Mus musculus: one gene and its partners. The protein of the gene in region 2 purifies or fractionates together with the protein of the main gene of each other region. This does not show direct contact. Links are inferred from orthologs where the notes say so. Each region holds a gene or a part of one and is shown on either strand. Other genes may lie near its edges.

What was found.
Region 1: the proteins of Ing2 (region 2) and Rbbp7 purify together in Homo sapiens (affinity purification with mass spectrometry; 3 studies listed by BioGRID and IntAct, counting the BioPlex papers as one, with this or other methods). This does not show direct contact. The link is inferred for Mus musculus from reciprocal best matches to the Homo sapiens genes ING2 and RBBP7.
Region 3: the proteins of Ing2 (region 2) and Sap30 purify together in Homo sapiens (affinity purification with mass spectrometry; 3 studies listed by BioGRID and IntAct, counting the BioPlex papers as one, with this or other methods). This does not show direct contact. The link is inferred for Mus musculus from reciprocal best matches to the Homo sapiens genes ING2 and SAP30.

The regions. Positions count from the first base shown.
Region 1 is NC_000086.7:162,758,791-162,763,182, reverse strand, and holds the start of Rbbp7 (histone-binding protein RBBP7), read right to left. Parts: upstream 2,812-4,392; 5' UTR 2,492-2,811; coding exon 2,476-2,491; intron 2,335-2,475; exon of another isoform or gene 2,020-2,334; intron 1,609-2,019; coding exon 1,464-1,608; intron 1-1,463. UniProt on the Homo sapiens protein: Core histone-binding subunit that may target chromatin remodeling factors, histone acetyltransferases and histone deacetylases to their histone substrates in a manner that is regulated by nucleosomal DNA.
Region 2 is NC_000074.6:47,672,221-47,676,600, reverse strand, and holds the start of Ing2 (inhibitor of growth protein 2), read left to right. Parts: upstream 1-1,441; 5' UTR 1,442-1,920; coding exon 1,921-2,095; intron 2,096-4,380. UniProt on the Homo sapiens protein: Seems to be involved in p53/TP53 activation and p53/TP53-dependent apoptotic pathways, probably by enhancing acetylation of p53/TP53. Component of a mSin3A-like corepressor complex, which is probably involved in deacetylation of nucleosomal histones.
Region 3 is NC_000074.6:57,485,058-57,489,176, forward strand, and holds the start of Sap30 (histone deacetylase complex subunit SAP30), read right to left. Parts: upstream 2,804-4,119; 5' UTR 2,510-2,803; coding exon 2,195-2,509; intron 579-2,194; coding exon 453-578; intron 84-452; coding exon 1-83. UniProt on the Homo sapiens protein: Involved in the functional recruitment of the Sin3-histone deacetylase complex (HDAC) to a specific subset of N-CoR corepressor complexes. Capable of transcription repression by N-CoR.

The DNA of each region.
Region 1 (4,392 bases), on a different chromosome or scaffold from region 2:
CACACCCAGCTCATTCTATTTTTATTCTATTTACTTATTTATTTATTGTGTGTGGATATGCATGTCTACAACAGTGTACATGTGTAGATCAAAAGACAACTTGCAGGAGTCAATGCTTTCTAGTTCTGGAGACTGAATTCATGTTCTTAGGCTTGGAAGCAAGTGCCTTACCATGCGAAGCCACCTTGCCAACCCTCAGTCTATTTTAGAATCTGTTCAAAACACCTTAGCCACAGAGCACATGCCTACTATGCTGAGGCCCTGGGTTTGAACCACCTCCAGTGCTGAAAAAATTAAAATCAATGCCTATAAGCCCCCATTATGTAGCAATTCAAGACTCTTCTCACTGGACATTTAGATTTTTAAAATGGAATTTTAACATAAAAAAACCTGCAAATAAAAAACATGAGATTTTGAGACAGCAAGCCCACATCTGGAAGGTCAATATTCATATATGGAACCTAGCCCTTTCAAGTGATTTTAAAACTAGCTTCTTTTTACCACTGGTCACAAATTCTTCCTTGTATATTAGTTTCATTTGACCCTAATTATAGGCTCACTATACAAAAAAAAGACAAAAAAAAAAAATCAATATACTTTTAAGGTATGTGCCCATATTCCTATAGAAAAAGTACATGCCAGGCTGGTGAGATGGCTCACTTGGTAAGAGCACCCGACTGCTCTTCCAAAGGTCTGAAGTTCAAATCCCAGCAACCACATGGTGGCTCACAACCGTCCGTAATGAGATCTGATTCCCTCTTCTGGAGTGTTTGAAGACAGCTACAGTGTACTTACATATAATAAAAATAAATAAATCTTTTAAAAAAATTACAAAAAAAAGGTACATGCCTACCTAAAGGTAGTCTAGTGAAGGAAGTGCCTTGATTCTGGAGCCAACCGGTTTTGGTTGGTTGAGCCCTAGTTTGTAAGCTATGAGATCGCCAGTAGTGAGCGCTTGAGCACCGTGCTTAAAATTCTCATCCCCTTTCCTCACTGGTAAATCTCTGAATCGCAACAGTAGTTCTGTTATGAGGCTTAAACTCTTCAGATGTGTCAGGTTCTATTATTCTAAGTGCTCCATAAATATCAGTAATTATGCCAAATCTTACAAATATTCAAGAAAATCACTTAATGCATCAAGCCATAATAGCTTTTAATTTGTTATGTATGTAATCTTTCCTATTAAGTTTGAAAATAATGTATTGATCTAGAGTCCAGAGATGTTGGTCATGGAATGGCAAAATAGTCATCGTTTCCTATACACAGTATTACACAATATTCTCTCCTCTCAACACACCTCTACGATAGAAACCATCTTAAGTTTTGAACAACCACTTGCCGCCTCACCCTCGGCCTAACCAATTAGGTATTTATGTTCTGTGTGTAAAATAACATTAACAATACCTAGAAATTTAACATGGTACTTAAATCTACACAAAATAGAAGTTGGCAGAAACCCTTACTTAGTCACTTCAGGAAGCCACTGAACGGTAAGACTGGGCCACTGAAGAGCATGGGTCATAACCAGGTCATACAGAAACGGTGTATTCTTCTTCCAGATTTTATACTCTTCGTTGATGACACGCTCCTCCACAGTATCTTCAAACACTGAAATTTGGAGAAAGCCCACAATTAAGTGGCTGAGAAGGCTCGGAGTCAAAGGCATGGCTACGGATCCTGGAGGTCACCTCGAGACGGCCACACCTTATCTATTCTTTCCTTTTACCTATCCTGCTCACACGAACTGCTCTCCCACAAAGTGAGAAGATCAACATCAGGAAGCGTTTTCGCCTCCACTTCCAAGATCGGGATTCCGGCGCTTACCCGAATTGGGTCATTAATTGCCCTACCACCGAGCTCGTCAGCCTTTTTATAGCCGCTCGCACCTGTTCTACGATGATCCGCATTGTAAACCGGTGCCCCGACCCACTCGAATAGATCCAATCCACGTGGAACAGCAGCAGCCCACAGGCCTGCTCCCTCCACCCCCCACCCTCGCAGGAGGCCCCAGCTCCCCACCAAGCCACGATCGGCAGCCATAGTCCGGCGGGATCCAGCTCCTCCCCCCCCTCCCGACACGGACACGGGCCGCGACCCCAGACGGACGACGACCACGCGCACGGAAGAATCCGCGCCCGCCGCTGACTTCTCGGGCCGCGAGCGCCTGCGCCCCCGAGCCAAGGGCGTCGGAGGGAGCTAGGCCGCGGGGTGGGGGTGGGGGTGGGGGAAGGGGGGCCTCTCTCTCGGCCCCCGCGCCCGGCTCCGGAAATGCTCCCGGCCCTCGGCGGCGACCAGGCCCCGTGTCGCGCAGGCCCCCTTGCAGGCGCGCGGCGAGTCTCGCGCCCAGCCCCGCCCCCTGCTCCTCACGCCAATTCGCGCCTTTCGTCAGCGCGTGCCGAGGCCTCGGGAGCCCGCCAGCCCCCCGGAGTCCCGGCGCCCGCACGCCCGCCCGCCCCACAGGGCAGGCATCCTTACTCTCTTTACTCGCCATCTTGCGTCGGGTCGTTTCGCCCCCCTTGGCCGCCTCGGACTTCTCTCTCGCTAGTCAAGAGCAGCCCGGCAGGCGCTCCTTGCCTCTCCCAGGCACGTCACGCAGTCCTCGCTCGGAAAAGCCTGAGTTCGGTCTGGCCGTCTGGGTTCTCCCCCCAGACGCCGCGATCTCCTCTTCTGCCTCCTCCCCGCTGGCGGGTAGCGAGGTCTGAGCCGCTCTCCTCTCTCTCCCTCTCGCCAAACTTGGAACGAGACTTTTCAACCCGCGCCTCTCAGCCCGCCCAGGCAGCTGAGCGCAGGCGCAGCCGCCCTGGGAAATTGGAGAGGCGGAGAAGAGGCGGGCCTGGGAGCCAACGGCTCGGCGGCTTGGACCAATAGCGTGCGACGGGAGGGTCTGACGCGCTCTCCGGGGGTGGGCTTCTCGAGAGTGGGTGGGGCGTTCCGCGGCAGGAAGTCGGCGAGGCGCAGGCGCGAGGCGTCACTCCCCAGGCTGGCCGCGGGGGCGGCTGGGCCCGCGCGGGGGTGGGGCGGATGCGAGCGCGGTGTGCAGGCTGCGCGGGGGCTGCGAGCCCCAGGGCCAAGAAGCCTGGGGCCCGCGGGGCGTGGTTGCTTAAAGCAGCAGCCGCGGCGGCGGCGGCGGCGGCGGGGGTGTGCGAGGGGGGCAGGGAAGCTGCAGCCGCCTTAGCAAAGCAAAATCTCAGAGCCAGTGAGGAAAATGGTTTCCTGGTCTCGAGAGATTACACTGCCCGCAAAGTCTCCCAGATAATCACGGCCACGCAGTTTTCTGCACCCCTCAAAGGCTCCCCCATTCAACTGTATCGAGGGCCCAGTCGAGCTCTGGTGACATTTGTCATAAGCGAAAGGGACCTTTAGGAGAGACCTTGGGCGGGTTTTTCTTTTTTCTCCCAGAAGCTGGGCAGACCTTTATTTAAGGCCTGCGATGGCGCAGGCCTTCAATCCGCCCCTCGTCGAAAGTTGACTTAAATGACTTTTTGTATGTTCACCTTTGTGCGTCCTTAACCTACTGGTTCTTTAGCTTCCTGCTGCTGCAGGGGATTTTGTGCCTGCCACTGCTTCCCTATCTCAGTTCCTGCCTAGGCCCCTGCTGAGTCATTCTTGTCACCTGAAGGGGTCCCATTTTGACCCTGCAGCTGGCTGCTGAACTGGAGAGAGCTGGGCTGGGCTAATCTAGGCCTGCATACCTGAGCTCTGCATTTCTCTGAAGCTTTTTAGCCTTGGGGGGGGGGGTGAAGAGAAAGCCACATGATCCCAGGGAGAAAAAGAGGGCCAGAGCAGAGGGGCCCAGGCGCCTACGCTTAAAGGGAACCACAGTCTACATCTAAACTCAGAGGCTCTCCTTGCAGAAACACCCCCGGAACATTTGTTCCCTTGATAGCTTTCCAAGTGCCTTCATGCTTAAACGCAACCATGCAGAGGCCTCGAGGATGCTCTCTTTTCTGATCGAGAAACCAACTCAGACGTTACTCTAGTATGTGACAGAAACAGTCACGTTCCCTTATATAGAAATTTACTGTCTTGGGTCTCTTGTTTTCCCATGTGGTACAATTCATTATTATAACGCCCTCCCTCCATGTCAGCTCCAAGAATCTTGCTGGTGACTAACGCTGAAGAGGTGGCTGGAGGCGGGAGGGGGGCGGTTAGAAGAGTGGAGTAGCATGGGTCCTCCGAGTTCTAGAACACTGGTGGTCAAACTTTTTTTTTTTGACAGGGGTCAGGCAGCCTTCGGTGTTGTAACACAACAGCCATAGAAAATATGGATAAGCCTGGCCATCTTCCAGCAAAACTATAGACACTGAAATCTGAACTCTGTGTACTTTTCACAGGTCACAAAATATTCTCTCTCTGTGTTTTTTTTTTCAATCACTTGGAAATGAAAAAAAT
Region 2 (4,380 bases):
AAATTCGTCCCACGTTCTCAGAAATTCAATAAATACTGTGCTTGCCTCGGTTGGCTTAATACTCCACTGATCAAAATCTCAGCGTTAAAGTACATTAACACATTAGTTCCCAGGCCTTCCAATATAGCCCTTGTCCTCAGGACGCCGAATTCCGCGTTGTGTTTTGTCGAAATCCAAATTTTCATCTAGACCAGGACCTAGGTTTCCCTTGGCATCCCAACAGCTGCTTAATATACCCCACTGTATGAAAGTGTGCTGAACAGGCCGGGCAACAGGTATAGCGCTGCAAACCGGGCAAGAGCACCCAAACTTAGCACTCTGGCGTTTTCTCTCTTCTCATTCAAAGACGCCGCTCCCATTGGGCATCTCATCTGAATTAAGCGACTACTCTTTCTTATACCTATTTCGGTTGGGGGGGGGGGGGAGAACCAAAACCAAAACAGCTCACATATTTATATACATTCCGGAAGTCTATCCGTAATTACAGTGAGCTCCTCCTACCGGCATTTCACTGATGGTACTGGGGGAGTAAGGCGGATAATCCCTCACACGGAAAGCACCGCACTCGGTGGTTGATCCGATTTCTAATCCCATCTGCACTGATCCCCTGCTGGCTAGTGGTGAAGCCGAGTGAAAAGACAGTGAGGACTGTGTGTCCTCGCTGGCGGGTGATGCCTAGGCGATTCGACATCTGACAACAGTTTCCTTAAGATGGTTTGGGACTGGGGACCGGGGCGGCGTGCAGCCTTGCCACCTCCCTAAACCAAACTCTTAAGCGCGAGGAGGGGGAGCAGACCCTGAGAGCCACCCCGGCGCTGGGGGGTGGAGGGGCCGCACGCAAGGCGGGGAGTCCGCATTTAAAAGGGCAGAGGGCGCACCGCCTACCTCCGCGGTCCGCCCCGGTGCTCCGGGACCGTGGCCGCGGGGCGCTCGGCGGGAAGTCGCCGCGCATGCCCGGAGCCGCGCCCGCTGCACCCTGGGTCGCCTTAGTTCCCCCTCAGGCCTCACTCGGCCAGCGGCGCCCAGGGGCCGCTCGCTGCTGTCTTGGAGGCTCGCGAGGGAGGCGCTGGATCCGCCAGATGGAGGCAAGGTCGGTAACTCGGGGCCGAGCGAGCCGAGCCGGCGCTTCCTATCCCTGTAGGGGAACAGAAACGAAGAGAGCGGTCGCCCGGCCTCTCGGGGGCAACCGTCAGGACTTCGGTCGAAGGGGGCAGGCTCAGCCATGCGGTCCCTTTAAGAGGGGGCGGGGCGCGGCCTGCCGTTTGGCCGGCCTCCGCACCCTCCCCCCGCCCCCAGGCGAGAGCTGACAGACCAATCGCCCGGGTGGCGCAGGGAAGGCGGGAGAATGCGAACTCTTCGGTAGGACGATAGGGGCGGGGCCCCAGCCTTATTAGGAGTGAGTGCTGCGCAGGCGCAGATGCGGTCGCTGGCCAAGGGGCGGGGACTAGTCCTGTGAGACTCCGACAGGCACGGAGGCTGATAGAGAGGCGAGAGGGTAGCGAGGGGCTTGTCACGGGGATCCGGGCGACCGGGCAGCCCCGGTAGTGTCTGGGGAGTCCCCGGGGGGGACAGCCAGCGTCGCTGCCTGGGAGCCCCGGCGCCATCGGCCGCGGGGAACCCCGCTGCTCGCTCTCCTAGAGAGGGAGGGGGCCGGAGGGAGCCCCGGTCTCGCCCCGCCCCTGGGCTTGTTACCGCGGGGGCGGGGAGTAAGGGCTTCTTCTTGGGGGAGTGGAGATCGGGGGACTCGGCGGTGCCCTCTCGAGCGGCGGCCGTGTCCCCGCGGCGCCGGGCTGCCGAGCGGAGGAGCGGCGGTCGTGGCTGTTGCATGTGTGGCTGCTGGATGCGGAGGCGGCGGCGGCGGCGGCGGCGAGGAGCAGCAGCAGCGGCGGCGGCGGCGGTGGTGGTGGTGGCGGCGGCAGGATGTTAGGGCAGCAGCAGCAGCAGCAGCTGTACTCGTCGGCCGCGCTCCTGACCGGAGAGCGGAGCCGGCTGCTCTCCTGCTACGTGCAGGACTACCTGGAGTGTGTGGAGTCGCTGCCCCACGACATGCAGAGGAACGTGTCGGTGCTGCGGGAGCTGGACAACAAATACCAAGGTACTTTCCCTTCTTTCGGGTGACAGTGTGCGCCGAGTGCACCGAGCGATCTGGTGTGTGGGGCCGGGAAGCGGTTGTGTGTGTGTGTGTGTGTGTCTGGGTGGGGGGACGGCACAGCACACTCGCGGCCCTCCCTGTCCCGGCTGCGGCTGACGAGGACTTCCGAGGACCGCCCGTCCGTCAGCCCCCGTTGCAGCTCCGGCGGCTGGCTGCAGCTGCCGCGGACGGGAATCAGCCATTTTTAAGCGAGCATTTGTTCCGGTGCCTGCCGGTTGGGTGCCGCACACTGTCCTGCCCGGGGCTGGAGAGTGTGCAACGAGCAGGGTTGCGGGGCTGGACCGGGGTGCTGGGCCTGCTTAGCCCCTTGCCTGCTGGGGCTCCCTCCGTCTGCGAGCAGATGCATTGGAACGTATGGGGGGGAGGGGGCGAGAGGACGGCGGAGGTGGACTCGGGAGATGCCTCTCCCCCCACCCCCACCCCCCTCCAGCTCCCGGCGTGGCGCGGGACTGGGACGGTCTGTGCTTCCCTCTCGCCCCGGGGAAAGTTCCGGGCCGCCCGGTGTCTCACTCAGCCCTTCTTCGGCTACTGCCAAATGGTTAAAGGGGGAGGGGTTCCCCCGCAGGGCGAGACGGAGAAGGGGTGTGTGTGTTGTGTATGTGTGTGCGTCCGTGTGTGTGTGTGCGTGTGTGTGTGAGTGTGTGGCGGGGAGGGTCCGGCCTAGGGGCGGGGCCTGCAGGTGTGACGTCGTATGGGCGGGGCGCGCGCTCCCGCGGGAGTCGGCCACGGCGGGCTGCTCGGAAGGGTCCTGGGGTGGACTGAACCCATTGCTGGGCGGGACGGTCGGTGGGCCTGGGCGGAGTCAGTGTTGGGTGTTGGGAGAGATATTTCAAATCTCTCCCTAGCCCCCCCCCCCACCCCGGTTAGTGAATCAAGACGCGGACACCGCCGTGGGGGACTGTCTCTGACCCTGGCTCAGCGTAGGTTCCGGGCCATGTGTCACTTCCGGACTTCTGGAGGAAGTGGGTTCGTTGGCTGGGCAACCACCTGGCGTCTTTGCACCCTTGGGTTCCTCCTCCACCAAGTTTAAATGAGGAGAAAAGCTTTTTCTTGTCATCAAAGAAACTAGGACAGGGAATATCTTCAGGGATTGTCATACCTTTCTCCTGCTAGGACAGGAGAAATTTAAATGGGGATACGTTCAGCCTTTAGTAACCCCTAGTCAAGAAACTGTGTAGACCTAATATGGACCATAAAAACAACTTGGAGTCATTCTGTTTCCCCAGACCATCCCCAGTCCTGTAACTTAATCCTGTAATACACCCCATGGTGACTTAGCATGTAAGAGCACTTAGGTGTTTTCAATCGACAAACTTGTTTTCTAAGTCTCTCACTGTTTATAGTATAACAGTGTTTTCACCAGATTCAAAGACTTATGAGGTAAAAATCTACTTTTATAGACAAAATTTATAGGGATGGTATAATGAATTCAGTTAATTGGTGGAGAATATTTTATTTCAAAGCTGTCTGCTTTTAAAACCGTTTTAAAACTGTGACTCCTCTCAATCCCAAGAGATTGAAGTTAGGACTCACACAGGATAGGTAAAGGCCCTACAAGTTCACCCTTTCAAAAAATGAAAATCATTCTGTGGTATTTTCTGCAGACATAGGGAACATACATGAATGGCAACCTAGCATGAGAATTCTGTGCCAAAATATGTAGTTTTTTTTCTTTAAAAGCGCAAAGCTTAGACTTTTAGATTGGTAGTGACATAATTTTTTGACAGGGAAATCTGTGATACCAGTTACCTGTAATTGTCATAAACTGTTCAGGTAACATGAATAGTAGATCTTACAAGACTGAGAGGTTAATGCAAACCAGCTCCATTATGATTGAGATTAATTCCAAGATTAATACACAAATCGTGGTCTAGCTTCTGCATAGGCACAGAGTTGCTAAGCTCAACTTCACAGTTTTATTTTTGTTAGAAGCTTTATATATTTTTGTTTTCTTGGTCCAGATTTTATATTCACTGATTCTTAAGTATTTTCTAGTATGGGGGTCTAATGTTACTGTGCCTTTCAGAAATTATTGCATGGTTCATTAAGTAGAGAAACAAAGAAAAAGCACAACTGGTTTAAATATTTATTGCAGGATATGGCTATAGGAAGCCTTCATTGTCTCCTCAGCATTTCATTCATAATTTTCTAGAGAAATCTTAGCCTTTGAGCTAGAATGTAATGTGGGATTTCCGATGCCGTTTGTACAGTGTATGGAAAGTGTTGCA
Region 3 (4,119 bases), about 9.8 Mb from region 2:
TTATTTAGACCTGGTCTGGTTGGAAGCTTGAAGTGTCTTTTGTATCTTCTAAGTGTATTTACTTGTAATTGGTACAAATCAACCTAGAAAAAAAAAATAGATGAGTTAGTTCACTCTGTTGAAAAGATATCATTGATCTGTATTATGACACTTCACACAATGACTTCATTTACACACTCAGACCTGTACTTTATTAAACAGTTCCATCTTTGGGGGATACATATTGTAAACTTCCGGAGAAACAAAAGAGGAAGTTGTATGTCAAGAGCTGTAAGAATGTCGTCTGAGATTTAATATTAGTATAAATACATCTTCACTGACTGTATATAACTTTTGAGATTTTTCAGATGCTTTAAACAGTTAAAGAAGAGCTCAAATATTTACAGAATGGTGTTGGGATTGCCAGCATGCTTATGATTTACATATAACATGGGGAAAAGCCTGCCATCTACCTCTGGAGTGTCGATGTCCTGAACAGGCGAGTCTCCCCCATCATCATCGCTTCCTTTCCTCTTCCTTCTGTTCCGAACGCTCTGAATTAAGTTCTTATGATAGTCACAAATGTAAAGATGCCTTGCCTGTAAAGGAAAAATTTTCAAAGACTGTGAGTCCAGAAAAACTGCAGCTAAGTATTAGTAAAATGCATAGGCCCAGGTGGCTGACTAAAAATCATCTTAACAGGCCACTGTTCAGAAGATGCAATGTTTCTTTCCACTATTAAAATGTTGTAACATTAGCAATCTGGCGATACTGTTAAGGAAATGGGGGAGGGGAGGAATTGGAAGCGGTGGGCGGGCGGGTAGTATCTTGGAGAAGGCAGGCAGGCAGGAAAGGAAGAAAAATTCCAATTCTCTGGGTCTTGTCATCAAATTGCAGGGAAGGTGACCTAAATAAGTTAGCTCCTGCTGATTTTAACTTAAAAGGGAGAGGTGGCATTGCCCACAAATTTGTCCTTGTATTTTCTCTAGCTTGAGAGCAGCATTATATTACTCGTAGGTACATGCTTTCTGATTGATCTGTTAGATAGTGAAATTCTACAGGTACAAAGTATGCATTTCTTTACAAATGCAACATTGAATTCATATCCTATGTTTAAATTTGAACCCTAAGGTTTCTTTTTAAGGATTAAGCGAATATATTTCTCTGTATTTTGTGTTTTCAATTAAAGCAAATTATTCATGTTCTCTTGCAAAGTTTCTCATGGACCCTACTGAGAAACCTGCCTAAACAGAATCACAAATAAACTTTTCAAAAAAATTAATTACTCGGGGATTTGAGAGCTGTATATACAGTGGACTAGGAAATACTGAGCTGATTGACACTCTCCCCCCCCCCCCTTTTAAGGCTACAATTAAAGGCCGAATGAACAGGCTTTTAAATTGACTTCTAAGCTAAGGGTAAGTTAAAAATATACAGGATGTCTGGAGGTTCTGTATCTTGTTCTTCCTTTGCCATCAGTCAGAGCTCTGAAAAGTAGCAATGGAATTCTCTGAAACCTCATAGCTGGCCAAAACAGCAGACGTGCATAAAGACAGAAAAAGAAATCCCGATGGCTGCCGAGAGGGCTGTAAAACCGCAGAGGCTTATTTGCAGCCTTGGTTCGGAGCAGCTGCCCGAAGAGCTGACACCGCAAACAACGTTTACAATCATCTATCTCCCTGTAAGGCAACTGGTGAGCTCAGCTTGCTTGTCTGTGTTCAAGAGAAAGAGAACAACGAGGAGGAAAGAAAAAAAGAAAAGACAAAAAGGAAAAAAAGAGAGAGAGAGAGAATTGTGGGGTCCAGCCAGACTCTACTTTCCCTAGAGGAGCGAAGCTGCTCCCTAGGGCAGACACCGGCTCTGGCAGCAAAACAAAGGCGCCTCCATTCCAGAAGGGACTGCCCGGCTGCGAGAAAACTACTCCGGGCCCTCGGTGCTGCGGTCCCCTTTGTTTCGTTTCCAGATCGCAGCAAAGGAGGAAGAGGGAAGCCTGGCGTGGGAGACACGCGAGGCAGCGGGAGTCCGGGCGAGGGGCGGAGGAGCCCCGCACCACTGCGCGAGCGCGCGCTGGGGAAGGTGGCCGGAGTTGCAGGGACTTTGTTTCAATCAGAGAACCACTAATCCCACCTGCAACCCAATCCCCGAGACTCGTGAACCCCGCCAACCATCCGGCGAGGCACGCAGGATAGGGCAGGGCGGTCCCTGGGCCACTTACACTCTTATCCAGCTCGATCTTCACCTTCTTCTGAGAGATGCTCTTCTGGATCCTTTTGCTGAAGCTGGCGTTGCCTGCCGCGCGCCCGCACCGCTCACCGTCCTCCCGCAAACAACAGAGTTGCCCAGGGCCGGGACCGGCCGCTCCAGGTGGCCCAGAAGCTGACACTGCACCGGCACCGGGTACCTCTGCCCCACCGCCGGCTGCGTTCCCATTCCCCGCCGAGGCGGCGGCAGCCGCAGCAGCGACCACCGCGGCCACGGCGGCGGCCGCGTCCCCGCCTCGGCTCATCTCCTCCGGAGTGAAGCCGTTCATGTCTGCCAGTTCGGGGGCGCCGGCGCCGCTACAGAGCCCCGCTCGCCGCGCCGCTCCGCCTCCTTCCCCTGGGCGGCCGTTCACTCCGCACCCCAAGTCTGGTGGCGGCACGGTCCGACGCCCAGAGTCCAGGGCCGGCCGGTCTGTCGGTGCTGGAATAGCTACCAGGTCCTGTGACTGTGATCAGGAGTGAAGTGGCGCCTAGAAAGGAGACCCCACTCACTGTCACATGGAGACTTCAGCAGTTGGACCGCAGCTCCTCCGCCTCCTTCTCAACCCCAGAACCTGCGCGAGGGAGACGCCCCTCCTCTGGCCCCGCCCCACACCTGCCGCGCGGCCCCACGGGAATGGTAGTTCTTGATCGAGGAGCTAACTTGCGCTCTGTTCTGATTACGTGCGGGACCAGCGGGACAAACTACTCATCCCAGCATGCGTCGCGTGGCGAGCCACCCCTAGTTTTTTTTTTTTTCCATTCCAAGCACCGGGCAAGTCTGACTGTGAGGTCAGGCTTTTACCGTGTTTTCTCGCCTCTATTCTCTCCTGCGAGCAAGGGCTGGTTTTAGCTCCTCTTGTTTCGCAAAGTTAGTGTTCAGACCGCCAGCTGACTCCTGGGAAGAAGCATTAATGGTGTGTGTGTGTGGGGGGGTGGGGGGTGGGGGGGGGTAGTAAGAATTAAGTGAGAAAAAGTTTACGGGCTGTTTGGTATTTATTGAAAGAAAACTCGGGATACCTAGCGCTCTTTAGGCGGAGAGTCCTTCATCTCCATCTCCATACCGCAGCTGACTTCTAGAGCGTGGCAGGTCCTTGGCATACTCGTGTGCCGACGGGTTGGCAGGCATCGGGCTGCTTGTCGCCTCTACTGCCACTTGGATTCCTTTCAAACGGATCTAAGAGGGTTTAAGACCATTTAAAGGAAGCACACTAGTATCACGTCTGCAGACTACTCATCAAAACTTAGCCCTGGCTGTAGGGGACGAGGATCGAGAAACCTCTTTTCTTGAGTCATATGCATGCGTACATGTGTGCTTGTGTGTGCCGCGGGTGTGTGTGTGGGGGGGGGGGGGGTTGCGCGCGTGCGCGCCTGGGTACGTGTTTGTGCTCGCGTAATGTGTATTTTTGCCTGTGCCTGTGGTGGGCGGGGTGGAAGAATGGGCGTGGCCATGCCAACCCTGAACCTCTGATAATTATTAGACTTAAGCTTAAGCAAAAATAATTTATTTCAAGTGGAAGAGTTTTGAGAAAGCCTGTTTTAGATTCAACCAATTCAGTGACGATTATATATATATATATATATAATCGTCACAGAGGTCATGAAAAACTTAGGCCCAAGCTTTCACACCTTTAATCCAAAGAGACAAAGCCAAGCAGATTTCATTGTTCAAGACCAGCTTGGAACAGAGCAAGTTCCAAATAGAGAAAAGTTTAAATCCAGTCATGGTAGAACATGCCTTTAATGCCAGCATTAATGATACAGAGCCACACATATCTCTGAGTTCAAGGTCAATATTCAGAGCAAGTTCCAGGACAGCTAAGCTTAGGCTGGGAAGGAGTTGGAAAACATAAAGTTGGTAATAGAATAAGAAGGGGCCACATTCCAGCCTCAGCAAGTA